Caenorhabditis elegans: one gene and its partner. The protein of the gene in region 2 interacts with the protein of the main gene of each other region in a pairwise test. Each region holds a gene or a part of one and is shown on either strand. Other genes may lie near its edges.

Evidence for each region.
Region 1: the proteins of rpt-1 (region 2) and F35G12.12 interact in a two-hybrid assay, tested with the Caenorhabditis elegans proteins (5 studies listed by BioGRID).

Annotation. Positions count from the first base shown.
Region 1 is NC_003281.10:4,579,974-4,584,409, forward strand, and holds F35G12.12 (26S proteasome non-ATPase regulatory subunit 5), read left to right. Parts: upstream 1-1,821; coding exon 1,822-1,857; intron 1,858-1,904; coding exon 1,905-2,005; intron 2,006-2,051; coding exon 2,052-2,160; intron 2,161-2,242; coding exon 2,243-2,524; intron 2,525-2,572; coding exon 2,573-2,764; intron 2,765-2,809; coding exon 2,810-2,867; intron 2,868-2,917; coding exon 2,918-3,118; intron 3,119-3,169; coding exon 3,170-3,280; intron 3,281-3,327; coding exon 3,328-3,502; intron 3,503-3,556; coding exon 3,557-3,767; 3' UTR 3,768-3,920; downstream 3,921-4,436. Other genes in the region: wdr-48 (WD repeat-containing protein 48 homolog), read left to right, coding at 1-147, 192-364, 410-516, 567-665, 719-812, 867-1,014, 1,066-1,257, 1,307-1,592.
Region 2 is NC_003283.11:11,979,750-11,984,217, forward strand, and holds rpt-1 (26S proteasome regulatory subunit 7), read right to left. Parts: upstream 2,649-4,468; 5' UTR 2,646-2,648; coding exon 2,570-2,645; intron 2,524-2,569; coding exon 2,420-2,523; intron 2,375-2,419; coding exon 2,144-2,374; intron 2,097-2,143; coding exon 1,554-2,096; intron 1,341-1,553; coding exon 987-1,340; 3' UTR 785-986; downstream 1-784. Other genes in the region: Mannosyl-oligosaccharide 1,2-alpha-mannosidase mans-2, read right to left, coding at 3,394-3,537, 3,585-4,035, 4,085-4,468. UniProt on the Caenorhabditis elegans protein: The 26S proteasome is involved in the ATP-dependent degradation of ubiquitinated proteins. The regulatory (or ATPase) complex confers ATP dependency and substrate specificity to the 26S complex.

The DNA of each region.
Region 1 (4,436 bases), on a different chromosome or scaffold from region 2:
CAAAATGGTTGTGAAAACTCCGTTATATGATTTCACTAAAAGTCAGCTTCTGTTCAAAGAAGAAGCCCCTGTGAAAAAGTTACTTTTAAGTGAAAAAGATAATCCAGTATCTCTTTGGGTCGGAACCTGGAAGTCTGATATCAAGCGGTAAAAGAATTATTTTATTAAAAAAATAAACTTTCAGTTTTCAGCTGGTCCATCCGCCCATCAGCCCAACTTTCGATTGGAGGAGACGAAGATGGTCCTTCAACTTCAAATGCAAATCACTCAGTATCAGCTTCATCATCACCTCCAGTAACATTCAAGTATATCCGAGTGAAGGATCAAAAAGGACAACAGAGCACACCAGAGCTCGTTATTCCTGGTAAACAGACTATATGCAGATATAATTTTTAATCTGTTTATTCAGGCGCTCCTGCCATCAAGAAACATGCCATGTTGAGCGACAAACGACACGTTTTGACACGAGACTCGGATGGAAATGTGGCGCTATATGATGTTTTAGCAGCAAGAAAGGTTTGTCCCCATTATTAAAAGTTACTACTTGAATTTTGATAAAATTTCAGATAAAAGATTATGGAAAGCGAATATTTGAAGAAGTTGTCGATGAGAACTCTAGGCAAGTATACATTCCAAGCTGGTTTGTCGTTGATTCAAAAAGTGGAGTGAGTTTTAAGTTTTATAAATTTTTGAAAAATAAAACCCTATTCGATTTCAGATGCTCCAAATCACTTTGGACGAGCTGGACGCTCTCTCCTCGTGGCTTTCATCAAAAGACGCAGGTTTTGATGATAATGATCGAGAGACAAAACGTAAGATATTATACGAAAATAAAAACTTTCTCATTCCTTTGTAAGAAATTATAGTGAATTACGGTGGAATGATGCTACGATCACTCTTCGAACGATGGCCACCTTGTAAAATGACAAATGTTGATGCAGCTGATGCAGATGATGTGCAAAAAGCAACACTGAATTTTATTTCTCTACCGGAACACACACCGCTTATTATTTGGTAAAATTATTTGAAGGCTCAAATTTTAAACATTAAAAAAACTAATTTCAGCGAAGGAAATGGTCGTCCGCTCTACCGTCTTCTTGTTGGCGACGCTGGGAAGGAGTTCGAAGCAAATGAGCTGGCACAAATTGCACCCATGTGGGTTATAGACGCAATCGAACGAAATCAGCTGCCGAAATTCAATAAAATGCCATTTTATCTTCTTCCACATCCGTCGACAAATCCCAAACAGCCTAAAAAGTTTGTGAAAACGCGGGGTTCATTCATTAAAATTTTGAACTATTTTCAGAGATCGTCTGTCAGCAACTGAAATGCTTCAAGTTAAGAAAGTGATGGAGCATGTTTACGAAAAAATACTCAGCACTAATGATGGTAAGGTATTTAGAAATAAGAAGATATTAATGGTGTTTGAAGATATTACAGTTGGCTCGATTCCACTAAATCAAATTCATACAAAAATGGAAATGTACTGCAATGATCAGAGGTTGGAGCCGGATATGGATTTGCGAACAGTCAAGCATCTCTATTGGAAGCAAAGTGGAGAGCTTCTTCTACATTATAAACCAGTTAAATAGCTTTAACATTTAATTTAAGTTATTTATTTGAACATACTTATCTAACATTTGTACTTTATTGAAAATTCACTGTCTAACTTCTTTTTTGATACGGGTAAAACCGACTTTCAATTAAATTCCATGCTCTTTCCATATGTCTTTCTTTCTTTTTTAAAATTATGATGGTTTAACTACCAGCTTATCTTCATTTCTTGCTTAATATTTTTACCTCCTACCGTATTCGTTCCAGATGGCTAGTTTGGAAGAACATGAAAAACTGATCGAAGTAGGTTTTATTGAAATTTCTTCCAATTTTAAGCCAATTTTTTTCAGGAGTGGAGAAACGATTACATCGCAGAACGCAGTTCGAAAAAGGGATGGGAGATTCTGGAAAAACTTGCAAAGATGCAAATTGAAGCGGCTCAGCAAATGGAGTACGTTAAATGAATATCAGATAGTATCAAAATGAAATTATTTCAGAACAGAAGATGACGTGGCCGCTGCTGATTTTGATGACTTCAGCACCAGCAAGCTTGTAAAATTGATTATTGGAGATATTTCAACCAAAGATCTTCTTGTCGATCATCAGGTACCTGACATCAATTTTTAGACTATTCTAATCTAATAAAAAAAAATTCTAATAAAAATTGTAATATCTCAATCTTTTACAGATAATTCTTCTCGAATTCATTCCATCTGCACATCCGAATATTCTTCGCCATGTAGTCCGCACAGTCCGTGAGAAGGAAGGAGCGATTTCCCTTTTGAAGTCATCATCGGTTGCAATTGGAGTTGCATTTGCTCGAAGAGTTACAGATGCTGAAGCTGGAGAGGAAGTTGGACGTCTGATGGCACACCTCGTGGATCACGACTTGATTAATGAAGAGCTCAAATCGCAGCTGAGTGTTGCCAATGGAAGAGAAAGTTCATCCATTAGAAGTCGTATTTACTCCGTAATTATTTGAATTCTTAATTTGATAATTCATTGAAAAATTGTTCAGATTGCTACTGAACGAGCTCGCATTTCATCTAACACTTCATGCATTCATTGGCTCTACGACAAGATTCTTAAAAGTGTTCTAGATACTCAAGATGTTCTTGCTCAACTGGATGCTTTGGACACTTTCGTTGATATTGCACTTAGTGGAAAACAGAATGCAGAGGCTTTGTACGAATTGGGAATCGTCAAAAAGGTTTGAATTTGCAATAAATTTGTTTTTTTAATGTTATTCCTTTAGATTTATGAGTTGATGGAATGGTCGAAGGAGTCTCCAGATGGTGGGGAAATGTATTTATGTAAGTTACCAGTTCATTCAATTAATATTTAACAATATTTTTATCAACAGACGGAACACGTTTCATGTGTTATATGGCTCGTTCCTACCCACAAGTTCTTAAATATTTCCCTGATCTTGCACGGCGTCTCATGCTCGAAATCAGAATGTTCGATCAATTGAGTGTGGTCAGTCGTCTTGGAGCTTTCGATCATTTTGCCAGTATGTGCTTCTCTGTCGAGGCAAAAGAAACTTTGGAGGATATGTTCAAAGGTATTTTCCAAATTTTTCAAAAGCAAGATATTAAAAATCATATTGTTTCAGATTCAAAAGATCTTGAGAATACTTTGGGAGCTGCTGGTGCTGCATGTACGATGGGAACAATGGAATTGAAGTGTCGAACTCTTCAGGCCGTCACTCTCCTTTTCCAGAATAGTGAGCTTATTTAGTTATGTGGAATGTTTGAAAATTAATAATTTCAGCGACTGAAAAAATTGCTGAAACATGGTACGAGCGTCTCGGTGGAAAAGCATTGACACATGTAGCAGTTGGAAATGTTAAGAAGCCGTTCCCTGAGATGAAGAATTGTATTTATGATTTCTGGCAACAGTTGTTCACATATCCATCAGTTGTTCATCAGTTCATCACTTTCCAGGGGTATGTTAACGACATTTTTATGCGAGATTTTTTATTAAAATTGTTTTTTCTCAGATTCATTGACTGGGCATTGGACGATAAATCAGAAGATAATCCAGAATACGAAATTCGCAAACGTCAAATTATTCATCGAATCATTGAATTGTCGGAGAATACAAAGAGCGCCGAAGTACTCAAAGCTGATCCAGAACTGATTGGCCGTCTCAAGAAATATCTGCAACCGGCTGTTGCACCTGCTCCGCGTGTTGAGGAAATGGCTCTTTAGATTGATCTGTATATCCTGAATCTCTTTGACTATTCAATTTTTTGTTTCTTTTTCATCTCAATTATTCCAATACAGTATTTTATTGCCTCAAAAATGACTTGTTCGCCGTTAATTCATGTTCCGGTTTGAAGTTTTAATGAAATTTATTGATGTAATGTTTTTAATATAAGTCTTTACATATACTCTTGTGTTTGAAATCCCATTTACTTCAATCTTTAACGAGTTTTGAAAACTGAAATGATTGTTTCAAAGCTTCAGCGTCAAAAAATGAAATGCTAACAACGTGAAGGTTAAACGAATTTGCTATTTAAGTAAAACACACTATCGTGTTTCTCGCATTTTCGCCGCCAAGAAAATAAAAATTTCATTTCGAATTGATTTAAAACTCATTCAATTTTTGGTCTCGCCGCGATATAAAACGTTAAAATGTAAGTCAAAAATGTATATCTCTTGAGATCGCTTATTGAGTGGACTTATTTATGTTTGAAAGATAGTCTATCTAGATAGACTAACGTTACATTAATTGGACTTTCATGTTATTTGGACTATAATGGTGCGTCCAAAGTGCATAGAAAAACAATAATTTTCTCGTTACCGCTATTGATCAATTTAAAAAAAGAAGGCGTGGCCAACCCAACAATCCGCTGATTGGCTAGTCACGCCCACTAA
Region 2 (4,468 bases):
TCAATGATAATTTCATGTAAAAAATACCGATAAGAGTGAAGAATAAGGTATTGGGCGAGGTTTTCTAAATAATCATAAAGAGGAATTCGGAGGAACGAAACTTTACAGATCTTAAGAAAGTAGAAGAAAAATCAATTTTGAGATTTTTATTAGTTTTTATGCAGTTTTAATCGAAGGGAAGAGATTCGTTTCAAGAAAACAGAGAGACTCCGATAAACCGCGAGCGATTGCAATTCGAAAAAGACGACCGCAACGCACACGCGCCGCATTCCGAAGAATACAGAATGCAGAAAGCACCATTGTGCGCGAAAGCCGCGATTTGTCGGTTGCTGTGTTTTATAGGATCAGCTGAGTGAGCTGCTGAATTTAGCTTTGCGCTGGGGCGATAACGTGACCAATGAGGCTTTGCCGAGGTGCGTTTATTGCTGGTTGAAAACTTTTCCCAATTGCCCGCGATGTCCCCTGAAACATGGGTGGCATACGCAATTTTTGAACGCCTCTAGGAGGCAGAATATAAATACTGAACAGTTGAACATTTAGTTGGAAAACAGTATCCTTGGAGCATTCAGGGCGCTAGTCAACATTGTAGAGATGAAAAATATATTCCTAGGTAAAGTGTGCACAATATTAGTACCATTAAAATACGCTTGCCAATTTCTTCTATTCTTACTTTTTCTGGCATTACACCGTAATCGCGTTTAGATTACTACTCTTCTTATGAAAAGGTTTTATGGCACGTTTTCAGATTCATTTAAACTGGTGTATACAAGTTTTAATAGTCAGAAACCCAATCACATTTATCCATAAAATCGAAACGAATACATCTGACAGTGTTGGGCCAACTTGGGTGCATCTCACGACGATAGGATGTAATAAATAAGACAAAAATCGGAGACATGGGGAATCTGTACAAAAAAAAATGGGTGGACGGGCGAAAATAAGTTAATCGAGGACCGGAAAGAGAATGAAAACCGAATAGGGTACAATTAATTATGTGTCAGATATCTTGGAGTGGCGCTGAATTTGGCATATCCCTTGACAACCTTATTGATAGCTTCAAGGAAATCTTTTTCAGTTGCCACCTTTCTTCTAGCACGAATTGCAAACATTCCAGCTTCGGTGCAGACTGAGCGAATTTCGGCTCCTGTACTGTTTGGGCACAGACGAGCAAGTAAATCATAACGAATATCTCTTTCAACGCTCATTTGTTTTGCATGAATCTTGAGAATGTGAGCACGACCTGCAAGGTCTGGAAGAGCGAATTCGACTTTACGATCCAATCGACCAGGTCTCATGAGAGCGGGATCGAGAGTGTCCGGTCTGTTTGTTGCCATAAGCACCTGAAAATATCAAATTATTTTAATGAAACACTCATATTTACAATACATGTAAGCATTAATTTTTTGGAAACTTATCAAACGAAAAATGTGTGTCTTTTTTTTTGGATGAAAGGACTGAACTAATGATATAAACTGCCTTCAAGAAAGCAAGAGATAAATAAATTTATATTACAGATTTTTTTGGGTTATTTCCATAAAGAATTAAAGACAAACCTTGATGTTTCCACGTGGATCGAATCCGTCAAGTTGGTTAATCAACTCGAGCATAGTACGTTGAACTTCATTGTCACCTCCTTGTCCATCATCAAAACGAGCACCTCCAACAGCATCAATTTCATCAAAGAAGATAAGACATGCCTTCTTGGTACGAGCCATTTCGAACAACTCACGAACCATTCGAGCTCCTTCTCCGACATATTTCTGAACCAACTCTGATCCAATAACACGAATGAAGCAAGCATCTGTTCGATTGGCAACGGCACGAGCGCAAAGCGTCTTTCCTGTTCCTGGTGGACCGTAGAGCAAAACTCCTTTTGGTGGCTCGATTCCGAGATTAACGTAACGCTCGGGATGAAGAAGTGGAGTCTCGACAACTTCTCGAAGCTTTTCAATTTGATCCTTGCAGCCTCCGACATCCGAATATGTTACATCTGGTTTTTCTTCAACCTGCATCATTGTGACGGTTGGATCAATTTTGGCGGGCAACGGAAGATGAATTTGATACTTGTTACGGTCTACTCCTACTCTCATGCCCTCCTGAATCATTTTTCAATTATGTGTGAAATCTAATTACAATTTCAAACCTCAATATCAGTAGGTGCAACGGAATCAGCAAGGTCTACAACAAACTTAGCGAACTGTTTTACGTTGATCAAGTAACGCGGATCGTGCTTGTCGCTGGTGATAATTTTTGTGCATCTGGCAACTTGGAGAGGCTGTTCTTGCTGCATTGCTTGTTTATCAGCAGCAATATCCCATAGAGCTGGTGGAGCCAACCCGGTGTCTGATTCTTTCACTCCAGAAAGTTCGTTCACCTGTAGAACAATGAAATAAAATTAGGAGCACGATGAAATAAATACCTTCTTCAGACAGTTTTCAATATCCGCGTCCAATGTTTTGAGCTGTTCCGCGTATGGACCTTGCCCGTATCTTTTCAAAACAGCAATGTCTCCTTCGTCGAGAGCTAAATTCAATTTTCAGAATTAGTTTCCTGAACGATATCCACATACCCTGGAAATTCTTCTCTTCCTCCTTGGTATCATCTTTTTTAGTTTTGCGCATGTCATCTCCAAGGTGATCTGGCATTTTCTGCAAACGAACAAATATTTTTAGAAGAAATGAATATGGAAAAAGCTTTGAAATGAGAATCTCTTTTGAAAATTGATGATTTTTCAGTGTCGCCGGACGCGTCGCGTGTCGTCTGTCTGATAGAGCGCGTTAGCATTTCACGCGGGAGAATGAAATTTATGAAAAATATTCGTATGTCAAGTTGAGAAACAAAAGAAATGATTCATCTGCAAGAAAAAATGTATTTTTTGTATATAAATTTAGTGAAAAGGAATTTCAGATGTCCTCGGGGCGCTCTTGAAAAGTTTACTAAAACTTTTTCACATTGTGGAGATTTGTCGTCTGCTGGCAAAATCTTGTAACCAGCCTGCGCTAAATGTTTTATAGTGAATACTAGCATTCTTTGTACAGTATAGAATATGAAATAGCATACACTTATTCTTTAATATCAAATGAAAAAGCTGGAAAAATTGTAACTTGTAGCGACTACATATCCTCCTGGTTTTCTCATGAGTCCAAAAGTTGTCAAAAACATTTATCTTAATTGCTAGAATCAATATGAACCAGTTATAAAAACAAAAACAACGGTTGACCTATAAAGCAAGACACCGGTAAACCCGTGGTCAAATGGGGGGAAGAAAAGCCAAAAAACAGCGGAATTGGTTCGGAAGATAAAAAACAAGTTTCAATAAAAACCTCGTGAGTTCTAAATACAATCAAACCATAAATCACAGTTGTTCAAAAAAAAGATAATAAAAATTAAATTCTAATTAGTTAAGACTGGAACCGGGTGAGCTTCGGTATTAAATACCCATTTATCGAGTGAAATCAGTGATTCGTCTGCAAACGTCAAATAGGCATACTTCAGAAACTCGGCAAGGAAGAAGGATTGCATCACGTCCTCACGGCCCTGAAATTCAGAAATATTCAGAAAAGCCCACAAGTTCAGATACTTACAGCTTTAGGATTATAAACATTTTGTAGACCAGTAAATCCACTATCAACTCTACAGTACTTCTCAATAGCTTGAACAGCATCCCATACCCAATCTCTATACATTGTTTTTCCAGTTAATCTCCATAAATAGAACCATCCTTCAATGACTTCTGGTCTTTGAATATATCCATTTTCCGAGTGTTTACTGGTTGCTTCGTCACGTTCATTGAAGTAGAACATTTCAGGTCCAATGTGGGTCTCGGAACGAATATAGCTTTCATGGCAGGTTTTCGCCAACTCTTCCGCCAATGTCATAATTCTTAATTTCTCTTCTTCAGTATCCTCGTTGATGGCTTGTAGAGCAAACATTCCAGGTACAAAACAAGCGAGATGTCCCATTTTATGTTGAGCTTGACCATTGTTCAACTCAACTGTGTATGTAAGATTTGATTGTTTGGAAACTTTAATCATGCTGAAAATATGAAAATTGTTGGAAAAAGAAATAGAACAATAGAACTCACTGTTTCTGAATAGCATCACTGACGTCCCAATACATATTCTTAGCTTGCGTATCAGTATAATTTGATTGAACATAACTCTTGATAAGATATTCATAAAATGAATCACCAAGTGCTCCAAGGGACATATGACTTCCTGTGAATTTTCCTGTATCCGGATTAATGTAGTTTGAGTAGAGTCCATTAGGTTTTTCAGCTTTTTCAAGAGCATCTCTCACTTTCTTCACTTTCTTCTCAAAAATTGGAGCATTGGAAATTCTACTGAGATACAGGAATTCAAGATGAAGACTTCCAATTTCGGAAAGAATTGATTGTCCTCCATTAGCCCATCCATAGTTACTTGCATGTTTTGATGCTACATCCAAATTACTTTTTGGAATTCCAGAT